Linked DNA regions of Arabidopsis thaliana. The protein of the gene in region 3 interacts with the protein of the main gene of each other region in a pairwise test. Each region holds a gene or a part of one and is shown on either strand. Other genes may lie near its edges.

The links. The genes of interacting proteins can lie anywhere in the genome.
Region 1: the proteins of AT4G11860 (region 3) and AT3G50190 interact in a protein complementation assay, tested with the Arabidopsis thaliana proteins (one large-scale study listed by BioGRID).
Region 2: the proteins of AT4G11860 (region 3) and AT4G34560 interact in a protein complementation assay, tested with the Arabidopsis thaliana proteins (one large-scale study listed by BioGRID).

What each region holds. Positions count from the first base shown.
Region 1 is NC_003074.8:18,607,694-18,613,599, forward strand, and holds AT3G50190 (transmembrane protein, putative (DUF247)), read right to left. Parts: upstream 3,570-5,906; 5' UTR 3,477-3,569; coding exon 2,857-3,476; intron 2,740-2,856; coding exon 2,312-2,739; coding exon of another isoform or gene 2,235-2,311; exon of another isoform or gene 1,905-2,234; coding exon 1,471-1,904; 3' UTR 1,376-1,470; downstream 1-1,375. Other genes in the region: AT3G50200 (hypothetical protein (DUF247)), read right to left, coding at 4,769-4,794, 4,961-5,630.
Region 2 is NC_003075.7:16,505,475-16,510,199, reverse strand, and holds AT4G34560 (uncharacterized protein), read right to left. Parts: upstream 2,585-4,725; 5' UTR 2,278-2,584; coding exon 1,612-2,277; 3' UTR 1,376-1,611; downstream 1-1,375.
Region 3 is NC_003075.7:7,132,361-7,140,501, forward strand, and holds AT4G11860 (FAM63A-like protein (DUF544)), read right to left. Parts: upstream 6,151-8,141; 5' UTR 6,002-6,150; coding exon 5,803-6,001; intron 5,452-5,802; coding exon 5,333-5,451; intron 5,244-5,332; coding exon 5,137-5,243; intron 5,056-5,136; coding exon 4,968-5,055; intron 4,630-4,967; coding exon 3,924-4,629; intron 3,769-3,923; coding exon 3,538-3,768; intron 3,377-3,537; coding exon 3,322-3,376; intron 3,233-3,321; coding exon 3,151-3,232; intron 3,065-3,150; coding exon 2,984-3,064; intron 2,851-2,983; coding exon 2,737-2,850; intron 2,643-2,736; coding exon 2,593-2,642; intron 2,459-2,592; coding exon 2,338-2,458; intron 1,973-2,337; coding exon 1,877-1,972; 3' UTR 1,536-1,876; downstream 1-1,535. Other genes in the region: PLDGAMMA1 (phospholipase D gamma 1), read right to left, coding at 1-577; AT4G11870 (uncharacterized protein), read right to left, coding at 8,135-8,141.

The sequences.
Region 1 (5,906 bases), on a different chromosome or scaffold from region 3:
ACAAAACTCTTATAAAAAGACTCTAATAAATGCTTCTAGTTTATACTATATCCAACGTGTGAGATTTGAATTTGATTAATTAATTTATTCTTTTTCTGCATTTCAACTCCAAAACTCTCATTAAAAAAGGAAAAACTATGTACTCTTAATAAATTTGTCGACTCTCATATATAGCTTGTAGTATATATATATATATTCAATAACTACATAAAATAAAACAAAGTCATGAGAAAAAAAATGTTACCAAAGTTCAACTATTAACTGATTTCATTTTTCATGTAAAACTAACAATTATTAGGAGACGAAACAAAACAAAACAAACTGTACATCCAGAATATTAAATGCAAATCTTTTTTTTAAAAGTTATTGTATAACAATTTTATTTTATAAATTATAGATGTGAGTTTTATATATGATTTCTCAGACATTCGAAGAATCAACTATGAAACTAATATTACAAACAAACACACCCTTTTTTTCTTTAAACAAATCGATATGTATCGATTAATAATACAGAAGAGGAGAAGCACATTACTAACGAATTAAACTTGAAGCTGAAGTTGGTGGATTGTGTACAGAGAAGGTGAGAGATATCTGTCTTCCATCACATACCAAAGTTGGTCTGGACTTTACTCACGAGATGCTCTCCATAGACAGCTCTTTTGAAAACTTGGCATCCTCTTCTCCCTCCAGGGTACTTCTGTTTACATATACCCAATGGCTCCACTACCGCGTCGAAATTAGTCTGTTCATTCAAATTAAAACATGATTCCAAATCCAACAGTGGAAAAACACACCAGAGTGTTAAAAGTTTTAAACCTCATAGAAGGATGCAACACAAACACAGTATTGATGAGAGTTATTGATCATTCTATGAAGTGTGGATTTGTATACTCCGTGTGAAAGTATCTGCATTTTATGATTCCAAAAGGTTTTTCAAAAGGGTATTCAAGAGCAGGGCTTCCCCTGGAATTTTGGGTGCCAAATGCACCCAAAAATATTTAAGGTTATTTCAAAAGATTTTAAAAATTGAGGCCAACTAGAAAAAAATAAACAAAATTGAGACCGTTTTGTAAACAAATTTTCAGAAGAATTTCAAAAACAATTTCAAAAACATGTTTTTTGATGAGGTTCAGGACCGGCCATGTTCAAGAGAATGCGTTAAAATTCTCACTTTCTTTCAACCAAAACAAAGAGATAGAGAGATGTGAGTGCTTGAAACAGAGAATCAAGAGAGATTGAGAGACAGAGAGTACATAGGGATATAGTTTGAGTTCGATTAGGTTACTCTGTTTGTGCCCCCTAATAAAAAACCATGTCCATTATTGCTTAGCCACCGAAATTAACCTTCTTAAACTTGTTTTTAACAACAAAATATTATTCCAAAACCAATTTTGGATAGAAGAAAATAGGAAATGTTGAAAAACAAGAAAATGCAAACATTCCAAATTGAATGAAAAAGGACAAAAGTTAAGTGTTTGGCTCAAAATAAGCATAAACAGTAAAGAAACTCTCACAAAATGTGAGAAGTAGCAAAATAACTGCACCAAAAAAGGAAAAATATGCCCAAGGACTTCTAAGGTTGAGCTGGTACTTGTGTAATATGACTGCACTAAACAGACTCCACTTACGACTGTAAAAACGGTCTACACCAAGACAAAGTGGATATAGATAACTATCAATGGGATCGAAAACCACGTCTTGACATAATTTGTGGAACAAATCCACAACTTCAGAGTCACTCTCAAGCCAATGCTCGATGATACCACAATATTGCAAGTATCTAACATCTTCGTTAGAATTTATTAGATTCTCCACGAAAATTATGTAGGATGTTATCTGTTTGGTTGAGTCGATATGGCATTGCTCAAAAGCTATAAGATTTGACAAGAGAGACTTGGTACCTACAATAAATATGAAAGAGGTTCGTATGTTTAATTTTAATAATGTGATGGTTCTGTAGATAAATTTTTGGTTTTAAAGAGAACATATGTGGGAAAGGAAGGAATAAAAGAGTAGGAAAGAAAATAAAATAAAAGTTCTAACTTACCATCATGGGGTTCTCTAGGAAAAATAATGTATACGCCTAAATGGCTAATCATTCCGAATTGGTGAAATAGGCAACAATTGATGTCAGTCTATTTACTTTAGCGACTTGTGGGAAAAATCTGAACAAAACCAATACATGTCGCTCTATTTGGTTTTGTACAAAATCATTAACATGCAGATAGGTATCACGTTTGATTCTTAGGCGACAACAATATAAGCAAAATATGATTTAAAACTAATAAAAACGAAAATGTGAACTTACCGTCATGGATAAGTAGTTTCGGTATCTCTAGACAACCGTTTTTGAATTGAATATCCCATAACCGGTCGGATTTTCTTCTTTTGAATTTTATACCGGCTTCTCTTAGTTCTGTCACGCAATGTAGCAATTTTTGTTGGCGCTTGTCCGCCACGACGGGTTTCCAGGACCATCTACGCGATAACCTTGGCTCCGGTTTCAGACTAGGCTGGAGCACACTTCGACGGAAAACATCCAGACAGTGCAACTCTTCCTTGTCCTTGTCAGCAATTGGGTGAAAGAATTTATTGTTGTTTTCTTGCGAATTCTCGATTTTGGTTGATGGCATATAAGTTGGCATCAAAGGAAGTTGATTTTCCAGCATTAGCATGTCACGTCGAATCGAATGCATAGATCCTCGCATCGCGAAAACAGGGTCGTTTCGATCATAGCTACACACCAAGATAAAAAGAAAAAAGTTAAAAAAGAAATAAACGAAAGTCAACATTTAGTTTAGTCAACCGGATCTGAAATCAGTCCGGTTTAGCATAAAGCTAAATCATGCTTACCCAAGTTTCGAGAATCCTTCATAGGCTCCTCTGAAGAGATCGAGAACAAAACAGCCATCAAGAACTAGCATTTGGGTGAACTTGTTACTGCTCAAACCAATAGGACCTTCGTAGCAAGCACGAGCCCTCTCTTCGAGCTCTTTCATGGCGTCAATATACATTTCGATGCCTTGCTTGGTACGTTTCATGACCATATTGACCGCACGCCATTTGTGATAGTCCATGGGTCGGAGATGTTCGTCCCCATGGTGGTACGGACCAAGAGAGACAGTGTGAGGGAAGTAGGAATTCTTGTCGCTTTTTTGAAAGGAGAGTGGAACTCTGTAGATACAGAGCTTGTCCCAGCTAGTTGTGGCGGCGTCTCTCATTACTTGCTCCATCTTGTCTTTGATCCAAATCACCCATTCTTCCCGTGTCTCTTCAGGTTGTTGGTTTCGGGTTTGGAGTTTTTGGCGCATCATGAAGGTGAGGAAGTACCAGGTCAACATCGGTCGTAGTTGATAATTTCTTCTTGCTTTTCTTCTTATGATAATATGAGGGAAAGGAAGCTTCGGTCCAAATGGTAGCTGGGGCGGCGGCGGTGGTGGAGGTGGTGATCGTCGTTTACTAGGAACTGCCATTTTTGTTTTGTTGAAGTATTTTAGGAGATTGAGACTTTGAGAGTGACTGGACGCTTATATTATTGGACTTGTTTTTCTGTAATGACAACTACCAATATTGACATCTAATCATACTTATACTTAAAATGTGTTAAATAATCGTTAAACGTATTGGATAATGAATGCCTAGGCGAGCGATGTTTCTTTGACTTTTCTTCAACTACTCTTGATAGAAACAATTACTCTTATTAAAAAAAAAAAAATGTTGAGGTGCTCTTATAGAAAGACTACAAGAAAGAAAGTCTTAAAGAAAGACTACAAGAAAATAGTCTTATAAGAAAAAATGTTGAGGTGTTTCTTTCACTTTTGTAGTTTTTCTATAAAAGCATCTCATTGTGCCGTGTGCCGCGTTTCCTAAAAAATAAGAAACATTTGTAGTTAAGTATTGTTAGAACATATTACTATTTTATAAATTTGTTATCAAGTTATTTTGTGTACTACACTTTGCAAAATGTTGTTGAATGGTAATATAATTATCAAACCACTTTTAAACTATTAATTCTGAAAATCAAATAATAAATTTATATTAAAGGATTAGATAAATTCACTTCTTTCTTTCGCTCTAAAGTAACCAAAGATTAGATGAAAAGAAGAACATGGTTGCTTAAGAACGAAGGTAGGGCTTTTGCTTCAGAACAATGTAAGAAAAATAGGGTTTCTATATTAAGTTGCAGATGATTTGAATAGAGGACAAATCCCTCTATTTATACAATATTTAGACAGTTTAAGGATATGCTAAACTTTTAATTATCTAAAGATTGAATTTTCATTCCTTCCATTTTTCGTGAGATCCTCCTTTTTTAAATGGAAGTCTTCTCTTTTTCGATTTATTCACAATCTCTCTGGTTTAAGTCGGTATTGTCGAATGTGTTAATTCATGCACCAACATAAACCACCGGTTCCACTGGTCTCATTCATAGTCTAAGACTTGATTATTCTGAGATGTTAGTTATGCTTACCCACCAAATCAACGTTTTTAGTATTGTTTTTCAACAACATTCCAAAACCCAAAAATTACAATACCAATTTTGAAAAGAAGAAAATAGAAAATGATGGGAAAAAAAACAGAAAAACTTAACATTCCATATTAGTAAAAACTATATAACAAAACAAAAAACAAAATTAAGGGTTTGGCTTATAATAAGCATAAATAGAAAAGAAACTCTCACATAATGTGAGAAGTAGCAGAGCAACTGCAGCAAAAAATGAAAAATATGCCCACGGATTATTAAGGTTCACCTGGTACTTGTATATCAAGATTCTCTTAAAAACATTCCACCTACGGTTAGAAAAACAGTCTACATCAGTAGACAGTCGAGATAGATGACTATTTTGGAGATCAAAAACTACTTCTTGACATAGCTGCTTGAACAAATTAGATTTTATACAAACATATGTGAGTAATGAATAAAAAGTAGGAAAGAAATGAAAACTTTTTAGCTTACCATCATGGATTAGTAGTTTGGGTATTTCTAGATAACCATTTTTGAATTGAATATCCCAAAACCGGTCAGTATTCCTTCTCCTGAACTTTACACCAGCTCCTCTTAGCTCTGTCACGCAATTTACCAGTTGTTGCAATCGCTTGTCCACCACATACGTATTCTTAGTCAACCTCATTAGTCTAGATCTTTGATTCGGTGTAGGATTAGACTGGAGCAGACTCTGACGAAATACATCCAGACAGTGCAATTTGCCCTTATCGTCAAGTATGTCCAATGATTTTTCTTGCCCGTTCATGAGTTTTGGTTGGTCAACTTCGGTCAACGTCTCCATGCAGAGCTCTCCCCAGATCGTTGTGTCGTCGTCTCTATGTGCTTGATCGAGCTTGTCTCTTAACGATATTAACCAACTGTCTCCTGTGGTCTCTTCCGACCTCTCTCCTATCACCTCGATCTCACAGAACACGGAGCAAGTCTGCTCCTGACTCTTATAGTCTTGGTCTTGACCCGGTCTGGTAATTTCCTCTGTACCTCCACATCTCTGAAGAGTCAATATTTCGGCTAAACCATGGAGGTTTTGATCTTTGACTGGTTCGGATAGTTGATTGTTGGTGAACATGTCTTTGTTGATGAGAATTGGTTGGTCATTGGAATGAACATTAACTAAATCCATTGTTGGTTGAAGCTTTTTCAGGAAATTGGGAGAGATTGTAATTGTGAGATGTTTAATGCAACGCTGTAACTAATTTAAAGCTGTAACTTGGCCATGTGTTTGCTTATTTTTTCAATCAACAAAATTCTTTTAAAAAGACTTCCTACTCTTAGATAAAGACTCTCATAAATGCTTGTAGTTTCTTTATATATTTAACGAATGAGATTTCAGTCATCCAAACTGGAATTAATTAAAAAAAAGGACTTTGTACTCTTATACAACGACTCTAATTATATA
Region 2 (4,725 bases), 9.4 Mb from region 3:
TGTTATCCACAAAAAAGGGAGTATAACAATTAAAATATTCATAACAAATTTGTCTGGTAAACAATATAACTTCTTTTTTCCTCCCAATTAATAAATAACTACTCACATGTAAGGAGAACGTATAAAAAATACAGTAAACAATGAAGTGTAAGTATTTTATAATAAACGATATGTTCCTTACAGGTTTATAATGGCTATCTCACGTGTATCCTTCGTAGATTGGCATCAATCTTTTCTCATGCAAGCGTATCTTGCCTCTTCACCTTTCCAGATATTTGGTTCCTACACGTAAGATAATTTCACCACACTCCGTTCTCCAAATATATTAGGTAAAATTAATCCGTTAATTATGTATTATTAAACATAAACATATATATGAATCAAGATTTCATAATGTTTTTGACATTTTCTTTTACCAGTGTTCTTATCGGACATGCTTGAAATATAGTGTTACGTAATTCAGGTTTTAGCATAAATTTCGAGCATATGTCCGCTACCTAATTATTTCTAGTTAGTTAAAATATCAAAGAATCAATACTCTTGTGTTGGCTTATCAATAGCACATTTTTGAAAGTAAATAAATACGTTATGGGTATTTCTACACTACTTGCAATGGGATTGAAATATATTCCCAATAAAAGTGAGACCAAGATCGATAACGTGACGACATATACAGTACCAACAATTCTCTCCTCTGTTATTAATTCTATTCCCTTTTATCCATAACCCTAATGCTATCCAGCATTTGGAAACACCATTTATATTCTTACCTATTAACTTTCTATTAGTTCTCTCCAGATTAGGCATTAGCTAGTGTGGGTATATCAAATATTCGATGCTTTAGTGTAACTAACCACGTCTGATTTAATATCAAACCTAAATTCGAGGTGTGTGATCCGACCGTCACCATGCATTTGTATGTCCTCAAACCTATTTTGGTATGAAGATTTAACTATCGTCAAAATGTTGAGTTCTACTTTGGAAAAATCAGAAGTTTAATTAATTGTTTTCTAAATTACCACGAGAACTTTATCTATGTTTTATCATCAATCCCATGATATTGAAAATCGCTTATTCAGTAGTTCACACATCTTTAATAGATAGTGGATAAATTATCTTTATTCTCGTATGTACCACCACATTACACAAATTAGAATGTTACATCAATCAGATGGACTCAGTTTTACCCCAACTAGATAATAAATATCTAGGTTCATCCATGAATCCAAACGATACAAACAACATTCAGCATGATAGAATTAGAAACTTTAGTTGGAATGCTTTGACGTCCACGTCTCTGGATTCTTACTATGTCAATGGCCGAATTGTTAATTTGGAGAGTTCGTAACATTTGAATAACTAGTCTCATTAACTTCTTCATTTGTATTTATAATAAGAGATTAAATCATTTATGGTTCTGTAGCTATTTTACAAATCTTGTTTTTAATTACCATTTGTTGTATTTACTTAAGCAACCTTGAAGGTTTACAAGAGTAAAAGATAAAGAGAATTTCTAAGGCAAAGTTACAAGATTACGTAACAGAGGATTCAAGTTTATAACCAGAAGGAAAAAAAAAAAAAAAAAAACATTCACTAGCAAAGAGGATCTAGCTAGATTATCAAGTGTTCTTCATCCTTTTGAATTCTCTTTTGTCTAGCGATGAAAGCTTCAATCTTTGTCCTAAATTGCTCGTTGCTCATTCCATCTTCTGGTTTCTTAACTCTCACCACTACTTTCTTGTCGGAGTCACAAACCCTCATATGCTTCTCCGACACATACCTCTTCATGTTTTTCTCACCATTGGTACTCTCCAGCGGCTTAACCGCCTCAAACGCTTTGTGCGATTGGCTTCTCCCGAAACTAACCCTCTTCCCTCCACTCGGCTTCTTTAGTTGTTCTGTTTTCGTAGCGTAAACTACGGGTTTCTTCTTCTCACTCTTGTGAAGAAATTCTTGGTAAAGATCGTTGCTTGCAGCTTCTGTTGCTGTCTTTGAAGGCTCGTGACTCGAGCTGTATCGTCCGGATTTCGCAAGAAGAGTAATTACAATTGCGTTTCCGATGAAGAAAACGAATCTCGGGCTAACGAGAAACACTGCTGCTTCCTTGAAAATGTCCCCAGAGATTTTTACAGAAGGGAAAGAGAGTTTGGAGATCAAGATTACAAGAAGAAGAAGCTCGAACAGTCTGAACAAGCTCGTGAACGATCTTATTGCTTGGAAATTCAAGATTCCTCTGGATTTCTCCATCTTCAAGTGTTGAAACTTAATTGGATCCATCAAGATGAATTCTTGCAAAAAGAAAAACACAGAAAAAAGCAAGAAAAGGAGCTTTTTTAAGAGATCGTGGAAGTGATTTAGGTCACTCGAAAGAAGTGATATTTACGGAAACAAAGTGAGTAGCAGAGAGTTTTGTCATCAGGAGATTAAACAAAGGAAGAAGAACAATAGTCATGGTGAACAAGGACCAGTTTGTATGTTTCATTAAGAAAAACAGAGGATTGGGGAATATGTATTTGCTCCGTTTTGTTATATCTTTTTGTGTGTTTTTTCTTGGGTTTGTCTTGTAGGTGTTGGATTGAGTTGCTTACGCTTATTATATATAGACTATGAAAAATATTCATGATAATAATAAAAAGTTTATTTTAAATTAAATCAATTTTATTGCAATAAAATGTAGAAAATTCAATTCTCCCAAGACTTTTTATTTTGGAAAAAAACATCTAAATAATTGTGAACAGCATTTGCTTTCTTTTGTTTTTACTTTATCCACAAAATTATTCTCAATGCTCCCAAAAGCTGTCCTAGCTATTCCTTCATCGCCCATGAGGTAACTCATGACCAATCACATCTTCTTCATATTCCCTGATTTGTTTTCATCATTTATTCGATCTTCACTTCTACATATACGTGCATCTTCTAGATAAATCTAAAGACGCTGTTATGAAACTAAATTAATGTGAAAGATTAATTGCATAAATTTATCGGAAGATTTGTAATAGTCTTTGTCGTGTTTAGGTTAATTATCATTGTACAATTTTTACGTGCTCAATTTAGACTAATATTTTTGTTTCAAGAAAGTGTGTTTTGTTTAATCCAAAGATGAAATAAAATAACATATATGTAATCAAAACGTTGGCGTTTACACTTTATAGATGCGTGCAAAACAATACAAGAAGAAGCAGTTACTTAAAAAAGCCTTCTATGAAAGTGGAGAATACAAATGGAAACTGGCAAGTGTAGGATCTTTAACAAACTAAATAACTAATTAAAGGTATATGCATGTAAAGAGTTCTTTGGCACAAAAAAAATATGTTTCTTAATTCAAGAGTGACAAGAGTCCTACTATATATCCCATGATCACTTACGATGAATACATACGTCGTCAAATTACGTACACATGATCTAACAAGATCTCTATGTCTAACAACGTACACATGCAACTGTAAAAACGACATAGATATGAACAGGCGTTGTCGACAGAAAGTTTTGGTCGATAAGAAAAGGAAATTAACAGTCATAACCTTATTTTCTTTTTATCCCATTTTGATACTCTTTTGGAAAGGGAAATTAAAAAAAAAGAAAGCGCAAACTGAAAGGCCACAATTAAATTAACCCCCCAAAAAATCTGAAAGGCCATTATGGATGGGATTTGGATGTAAGAAGCTCTTTTTTTCAGTCTTTAGTTTGAAAATTTTAAGTTAATTTGATGATCTAATAAATTTCTAACTCCTAAACTCTCAAACCCAAAACTAAAGTAAAAATCCTGTCTATTTGAAGCCTATAACTTGTTTATGAGAATCTGAGATACATGTTTTAAAACTATGAAAAAACATTAGAATGTACATTCCACAAATTATACAGATATATATTGCCAATAGATTTATAAGATTATCTTCTAGCAGAAAGCCCATTTGTAAATGTGGAACACTTAATGAGACTGATTTCCTTCTTCACTAAGACAAGCTCAACATTATACACTTTTCTGTCCTTTTTTTTGGTGTCTCTCTTTAATAATTTATGGACTTTAACTTTGCTTTTCCGAAATATGAAAGACCCCATCTTGTAAATAGAATGCAATTAACTTCTCTTTTTGATAGTTTTTGAGTCACCTATTAAACTTTCCGTTATGGACATGATTGATCTATAAAAGAAATTTTCAAATTATGTGGTGGCTGGCTAAGTTGATAAAACTCTCCCATTTCTTTAGATTATCCATTTGTTTCGTAGACTTTGTATCATCCAAAATTTTCTCTCCTTTATTCAGAATTCTGGCGCTTATGAAACTTTTCTTGAACACAATTTTAAATGTAAAAAGGTGAAATTAATATACGTATGGACCCCTCGGAAAGAAAAAGGTCATATACATATGGTCCTTGAGCAAGTAGCTTTGATTTGATTCTGGAATATATGGCTCTACCGCTCTAGTCTAGTGATACACATCATATTTACATATTAGTCGCTTAATTCATTGTTGACTTACTCGATCCATTGTCATGAAGGATTTCTAAGTTTGATATGTCTTCTTCTAAGGGATTTGATTGGTTGGGGACTTGGGACTGTGACTATCTGCTTGAGTTCTATCTCTTCTTGTGTAACTAACCCAAGTAACAAGCCCAGTTCAACATTATTATTGTTCGATCCAAACTAGGCCTAATCTGAACAGAACAAAAGTATATAATTTGAGACGTTATTAAACTATTTATTAATAATTAAAATAAATTCCCG
Region 3 (8,141 bases):
GTCTCATTCTTTCCATTGGAGTGTATTGAATAGACAAACCCAACACAGCACCTTGTTTACAAGGCTTCCCACTACTATTAAGTATCGGAAAGAGCCCTTCGATCCTATTCCCCGAACACAGCTGCTCCGTTGGGATTCCAACAGCTCCCATGATCTGTGATCCAATAATATCACTATCTTTCACAACAAAATGTACTTCAGCAGCACTATGAGCAACCGGTACATCAAAATGCTGCATCCACACAGGATTCTCACTATTGCTAATAACAAAAGTTCTACCAATCACAGCACCAGAGATAGAGACAGTAACATAAGGATCACTAGTGATCTTAGAAGACTTCTCACCTTCCACTTTCTTCCGACCTAACCCAGACAACATCCCACCAAGTCTGTTATGGAAACCATCCATATTAGGAAGATGTTTAGCTTCCTTAACCCAAATGTCTAAGTTACCATGTAACAATTCGACCCTCAAAGAGCCACTACTCGTAGCAAACGGCACGTATTGCTGGCCGCCCCCATGGCTTGACCCTCCTCCCATAGACATAGTCTCAGTATAAGCCGGATGATACGCCATGAAAATCGAAATCAAAAACCCAAAAAGTCAGAAACTTTCAGCTGTTAGATCAAATCTCAAGCGTAACCGAGTTCAGTGAGACAAAAGATCGATCACTTGGTGGGCAATAATCGAGAGATCAAGACTGAAGAGTGAAAAAAAAGAAGATAAAACTTTGTGATAATACAAACTCAGATCAAATGGAGATCTAAAAATATGGGCAAATTTATATGAAATCTCAGATTTTTGTGAAGAAGAAGGTGGGAGGAAACGAAGGGAACGTTGACTTGAAACGGAAGAATCGGAACATTTTAAAGATATTGGCTGCCGTTGTTGAATCGTTCTAACTTTAGCCATTAATAACACAAATTAATCTTCAATTAAACTAATAAATTATTTGTTTTTAGTAACGACGACTAAGAGGACTTCCACTTTGGTTGTTGGCTGCTCACGAAACTCTTTCTCTCTGGTCCCTCTTTTGATGCAACTTCATTTGAGTGGTGATGTTACTATTTTTATATATCAACTAGAAATTAAACATTCGACTTAATAGTGTAAGTAATAATTAAGCATGACATTTTCTTGAAATGAAATCATATTACTATTTAATATTTATTATCAACAAGAAGTAAACATTCGAAAAATCACTAAATTAAACCATATAATTGCGTATTGAATAATAAATCAAGACATTTTCTTCAATGGAGAAGACATTTTCATTGTTGAAGTCTTCCTCAATTTTGAACTATAATTTTCAACAGCTCTAGTGGATTCATATTATCTATCAGTCGTGGTCTTAGCACATCATTATCTTATAGTGAAAAGAAAAAAGTTGAACTTGTAAAGAAATACAAACTAGTTTGAAATTCGAATTGAGGGATTAGGATATAATTTATTTATTATTTTAAGTTTATAACTAGTCAAAATGATTAGCTAATGCAGATAAAAAGTATTTTAATTAGGGATTAATAATCACATTCTCCGATTACAACTTGAAAAAGTTGGCGATTAGTCAAACCGAGCCGGCTAAGCAGAATTATTATAAAAGGCATCACGGACAATAGCCGTTACTCCGTCAAAAAAGTAACGGCGATCAGAGTAACTTAACAGAACGAAAGCCAAAACGTGAACACAAACTCTAATTCGTCTCCCACTTCTCAAAAGGATAAAGAAAAGCTCTGATTTTTTATGAGCAACAAAAAATAGTTTAGTCAAAGCGCAATTACAGTTTATTTTTTGTTAAAACCAAAAAGCTTTTAAGGATTAAAATTAGTTAGGGAATAAGAAAAAGTTGGAAATTTACATAAGTGAAATGAGGATTTACATGATTCTACATTTGCTATCTTTATCTTTAGGGGATTTGCCGTCGTGTCTCGAAGACGCAGCTGATGATGGCCTGTGGCTGCTCCTTGGTACCTGCAATGGTCAGTACAATATCTGATCATTAACATTCATCCAAACACCACAAGAAGCAAGGCTGCATTATATTCAATGAGCTTCTGATTACGGTGTATGATCATTATCGATGTTTTACACTCGCAATTGGTACTTGTAAACTCATCTTAGTCGGTAAAGTATATGGACAGAAAACAAATGTACTAAACAGGACTTGCAGATGTGCTTGTTAAGGCTATACTCTCTTACTATTTTAATAATCAGTGTTGTATATTGTTGCAATGTGCAGGTCACACGGTAATTTACCTTTTCTTATAATCATTGTTAACCATTTGTGTCGATTCCTGCTTTTTAAGAATATAGTGTTATGAGTAGGAATGAAATACCTGTGGACCAGTGACCAATCGTGAGGCAGCAACGCTAGTTGGTTGTGGAGTTGGGTTACTACGTGGGCTCTGGTCCTCAAACTCTTGTTGTTGCAAAGCTATTGCTAGTTGCAGATCAGAACTGCATAGTACCATGGGAATTAAAATTAAACAATCATAAATATGTTTTTAAGAGGACAGTTATAACAAATGCATAAATGTGTCTCTGGTGAGAACCAATGGGTTAGTGGTCAAAGAAAGGTATGAAATATTTACTTGACATCTATGCCTGCATCCGCTACATTGTTGATGCTGGCAAGATAATCCTGTGTAGGGAGAACCAAAAGAAAAAAAATGATTAAAAAGGTAAAAGAAGGAGATCTAATGTGGATTAGTGACTATATTATGAGGAGAACATACAGCAGTATTTGTGACTGCGTTTCGTTCATCCCATGTGCCACTTGCACCACCTGTGCTGCTGTCGATCGTGAAGTCCTTGAAGGTAGCAGTCATGAATGCAGTGTCACCATTAACCTGAAACCAGATTGCATGTCAATAGTGGTCACAACAGCCATAGCTCTAAAGAGATTGTGGATATAGAGATATCTCCTAAGAAGCCAAAATTAGCAGATAAGACAAATGGTGAGTAAGTAACTTTTGCTGATACCTCGTTTAGTTTTTCCCAAACCAAATCAGGCTGATTCAGGTAACCTTGATCTGTAGCCAAAAGATAAAGTTCACCTTCATACTGAAAATATGACAGCAACAAGAAGAATTTAGTTGGGATTAACCTGTTGCAATTCAAAGATGGAAATAACCGCAAACTAAACAAACCTTGAACATGGTGCAGAAATGATTGTTCCGGAAAAAAACACAGAGTTCACGTTCTTTGAGGCCTTCTTGCAAGCGAAAGAGTCTGTAAGATATGATCAATAATCAATGTAAGATAATACATGAGCAGTCAATTTAAAATATAACTTCCTAACTATGAATAAGATCACGCACCCACAAAAGGTTAATTGACTTGCACTATTCTTCATAAAGTTCCTGATTAGTTCACCTGGAAAAACTCAAGAACAACTATTTAATAATTGCAAGAATATATGGAAAAATGTGAACTAGAGCAAAGAGAGCAGCTCTAACCACAATGGCATGCATGTATGAGTTTCCGAAAATGTATTTCAAGTGTATCACAAGTAGATCAGACACAGTATAATTTACCTTCTTCTGCTGTGAGCCCATCCGTAGCCCTCCCTTCAGAAGAACAATCACCAACATCCTTCTCAACCCTTTTACCAAGAAGTGACTCACCTTCATAAACGGGTTCTTTGTCTGCACAAACTGGAGGCACTGTGTTTACACATTCCTCACCTTCGTACATAGGTTCATCGGTAGATACAGGTGGGATAAAAGCGTTGGGTGCATCATCATGCTGGGATCTGCAACTCAAATCTGGAGATGCAATGGGTATCTGAGTAAGAATTTTCCTATCTAATATCTTCAGATGCAATTTTAGCCAGTAAAATGATTAAGATGGAGGAGTACTATACTTATGTATAGAGACATCTATAAGGTTACACCAACTAAGGAAGAGTCAAAAAAACTACCTGGATCAATAGAAGCTGCATCAGACTTGAGTACACTCTCAGAACTGCTTTCACTTTTCGCTGACTCCAGATTACCCTTATCCACAGAGAGTGCCTCAGAAGAAGTTACATCGACAATGGCCTCTTTGCTGCTACTCACGTTCTCAACATCACAAGCCGTTTCACCTCCAGATTGCTTAGAAGATAATTGATCATGGTTAAGATCCTCACTTTTAGTTGTAATCGTTGTCGGAAATTTCCCAACTTTGATCATATTCCCATCATTTTCTGATGCTTTATCATCATCAGTTTTGAACTGGTCTAGCTGACTGATATTAGTAATATGGGTGCTAGTTGGACTCGCATCTGAAAATGTGAACGCAGAATCTTGATTGGTTGAGTCTCCGTTAGTGTTTGGAGTTGGATCATTCCCCTGCCCCTGTGATAACTGCAAGGCTTGCAACAACTCTGTTTCTTCTTCAAGATCCCCCTTTCTCATTCTACGAAGCTCTGCAGCCGCAGGTGGAGAATCATCAAAAGATCTTGTTTTCGAAAGACAAGGTGAAGGAACCCCTAAAACTGCAGTAGTTGCCGCAGCAAAATCAACAGAATCTTCTCCGGGATTTTGATCGCCTTGAGCCTCTACATTCTGTGTCTCCAGTGCAACTAGCTCACCCATAAGAGCATTATACGATTTGCTACCAATTGCATTAGCTGCTTCAACATCCTGTAGGTATGCACATGGGAAACAATTGAATCAATACTTTTACAGTTTTACTACAGGCCCAGGATTGATAAGGACACCATCTTAAAATGAGTGCTCTTGACCACTGTTCCAATCCATCTTAAAACGAGCCAAACAATGGATAAAAAGAATAAAGTAACCTATGTTTTGTTTCTCAACTCTCAAGAAGATAAAGAAGAGAAGATGACCCCACATCCCAAACATCCACACACAAAAGACAGGAACGAAATTAAAAAACGTCAACAGCCTATACTAATGAAATTTAATTATTTACGCGCAGACAGAGCCATTCTGATAAAGTATGAAACAAAATGATATACCTGAGGATCAACTATCCATCCATGATATAAGGGAATGTCAAGTAAATCAAATATTGCACATTCAGGTGTGAACTCAAAATCATCAATCCTGCAACCAGGTAAACACTCATGATAATTAACTTATGAATTTCTACCTATTATAAGCAGAAACAGCTGACAAAGTATTAACCTCCTGAATTTAATATTGACATCAATTCCAGTAGTAAGGCGTGGAAGAAGATCAATTGCATCAGCAATGTTCTGTTGCTGATTCTCAATATATCCTTCATCTTTGTTCTGCCATTGAGAAGAATAAAAGATTCACATAGATTCAAGCCACAAGATAATATAAAGAACAGGCAAAGATAAGAAGCCAGCTTATTTACATTGACTTTACTATTGGAATCAATGAGTCTGTCGACCACGAGGGACATCAATCTCTCTTGAGAAACCTCATAACAGTCAGGATTTAGATTCAAGTTGTTTCTCAAGAGAAGCACATTACCTGTTTCATCCCAAAATCAAATAACAATCAGTAATCAAAGTGTTAATTGATCTAAGTATTATTAAGCACACTAAATACCAAATTCTCACACTTGTCATTTCTACGAGAAGCTCAAGCTAACAACAAAATCTGATGTTCGGTACACTAACCATCAAATCAATGATTCATTACATTGTACGGAACAAGCAAACCTAACACCGATTCTTCAATTTCTTTTACAAATTCCACAAAATCAGTAACGCAAACCTAAAGAATCAATGATCATAACACCGAAATTCCACTTTCCAAACCCTATTTTTACGATCTGAATGAAGTTTTATGAGGACGAAAAAGGAGAAAATAGAAACATACAAATGGCTAACAAAGGACAAGGTCCATTTTCGTTCTGGAGAATGATAGGTGTGGTTCTTCCAAGGAACTGAATCGATTTCGTCTTATACAAAATCTCCTCCTCCGTAGTAGTTTCCTTCGGTAAATCTTGCTGCTGCATCGCTTCTTGATTCGTCTGCGTTTCTTCGCTCGGAGATTCTGAAGATGAAGCGGTCGCCATTGACGATGATGATATCAACCAAAGCTAATGAAAAAACAAATTCGAAAAAAAGTCAAATTTTCGATCGAAGAAGAAGAGAGACAGATTATTGGAAATTCCGAAGAAATTTTATTTTTTCTGATCCAAATCGAAAAGAGGAAGCGAGCGAGAGAGCAAAGAGGATTTAATTTATATTACGAGAAAGAACTTTTATGGGAAGGTTGATATTGAAATGTGTCACATAACCAAACCGGTACGTACCAAATCGAAATTCCGGTATTGTTTAAATTGCTATTGAACCAAATATAGTAACGACCAATTTTTCAAATTTATTCCGGTATTTGATGTATGAGAAGAATTATGGTTCGATTATTACGGTTTTGATAAACCAATTGGGTATCTTTAGTGCGTATCTTCTCGGGGAAAGGTCAATTTAAATGATAAAATTCTTCATTTCTTATCATAACACCGTCATTTCATTTCCTTAAAAGTCATCTTTTAATAGTTTTTTTATTCCTAATTAATTTCTTTATAACACGTAACATTTTAAAAAATTTTGGGAAATTTCTTGATATATCATTTACGAAAGAATTAGAAGTGTATTTATCACATTTATTTATATTATAGTTTTACACGAAAAGTTATATGAATGTCAGAATGTGTTGACAAAAAGAAAAGGAAGAATATAAGTGTTTGACGATCTAGAAGGAATCTATAAAAACGGTGGGACAATTTGAATGTTTAAAGAATTATGAGGTTTGAGGTTTAAATCGAAAAACAGAACCAAAATAAAAGTGTGGCCTGCGTCTAAACAATGGTGTGTTTTTTCACTTTAATTGTTTTCCGTTTAGTAATTATTTCACTTCAATATATAAGCATGTATTTTTATTAAAAACATGAAAATACTGTAGAAATTATGTTTTATAAATTATCACATTAATGACTAATTTTGAGAAACCAAACTTTATATATTAAGATGTTAGTAACATAACATTATAACCATCAATCTCAATTCACAAGGGAGATAAATTGATGAAGCAGCAGAATAACATCATTTCTGTTTGACCACGCTTGTACAAACATGTCAATGACAATGTGTTGGTATTTTTAATGTTGACTATATATATGGGCTGTAATTGAATAGTTAAAAGCCCAACAGGCCATTTGAAACCTAATTGTTATACTATCACGCGTATAGATGATGAAATCCAATTATAAAACTTCGAGGCATATGGCTTTTGCATCATTTTGAGTCAGCCGATATTCAACCCAATACACATCGGTCCGGTTTAGTAGTTGGTCCATCGATCTATACCAAATATATCGTGATCAATGGCTAGAAAAACCATCGATCTCAATGAGGCATATTAGGAATATTGTTCCACATTAGAAGTTGAGTATAATTTTAAGTGGTATATATATAAGTTATGAGTTTTTCCACTTATTGTCAATTAGTTTTGAGTTGAAACCGCACAATCTAATAGATTTGAGTTGTATATAAGAGATATAGACCTTTCCATTTATTGTCAATTAATTTTGAGTTAAAAACCAATAAAACTTAACATGGTATCAGAGTCCAAAAACACATGATTCACTAATCCAGTCCGGAAAGTGGTCTGGTCATCTTTACTAATTAATAGTTCAAAAAAAAACTAAATTCTGTCGAAATAACTAGAAAAACATTATTTCCAAGAAGCGTATAGAAAAAATTCCACATTAAAAATATAGAATAGACTTGACTAGTGTATAAAAAATATAAATCTCTTTATTCATTGTTAACTAGTTTCGAATTAGAAACCATAAAACTTAACATTTTTAACTTTTTTGTTCATATATCTTCGTTTGTTCTCAGTATTCATTATATCTAATTCATTCTTTTCTTTTCTTTTTGATCATTTTATTTTTATAAGCGAAATTTGCATGTATAACCTAAAAAAAACTTATTAATTAAGAAACTAATCTATTGCAAAAAACTTACACTATAATAATTATGTAATATATAATATTACAAGTTTGTCCTCACCCCCACAATAATTATCACCACCACCACCACTGTTGCTGCTGCCACTGCCGCCACCTTCGACGTCACCGCCGCCGCTGCCGCCACTGCCGCCGTTACCGTCCTTACCGGAATGAATGCCATCACCTGAGCCATTACTCC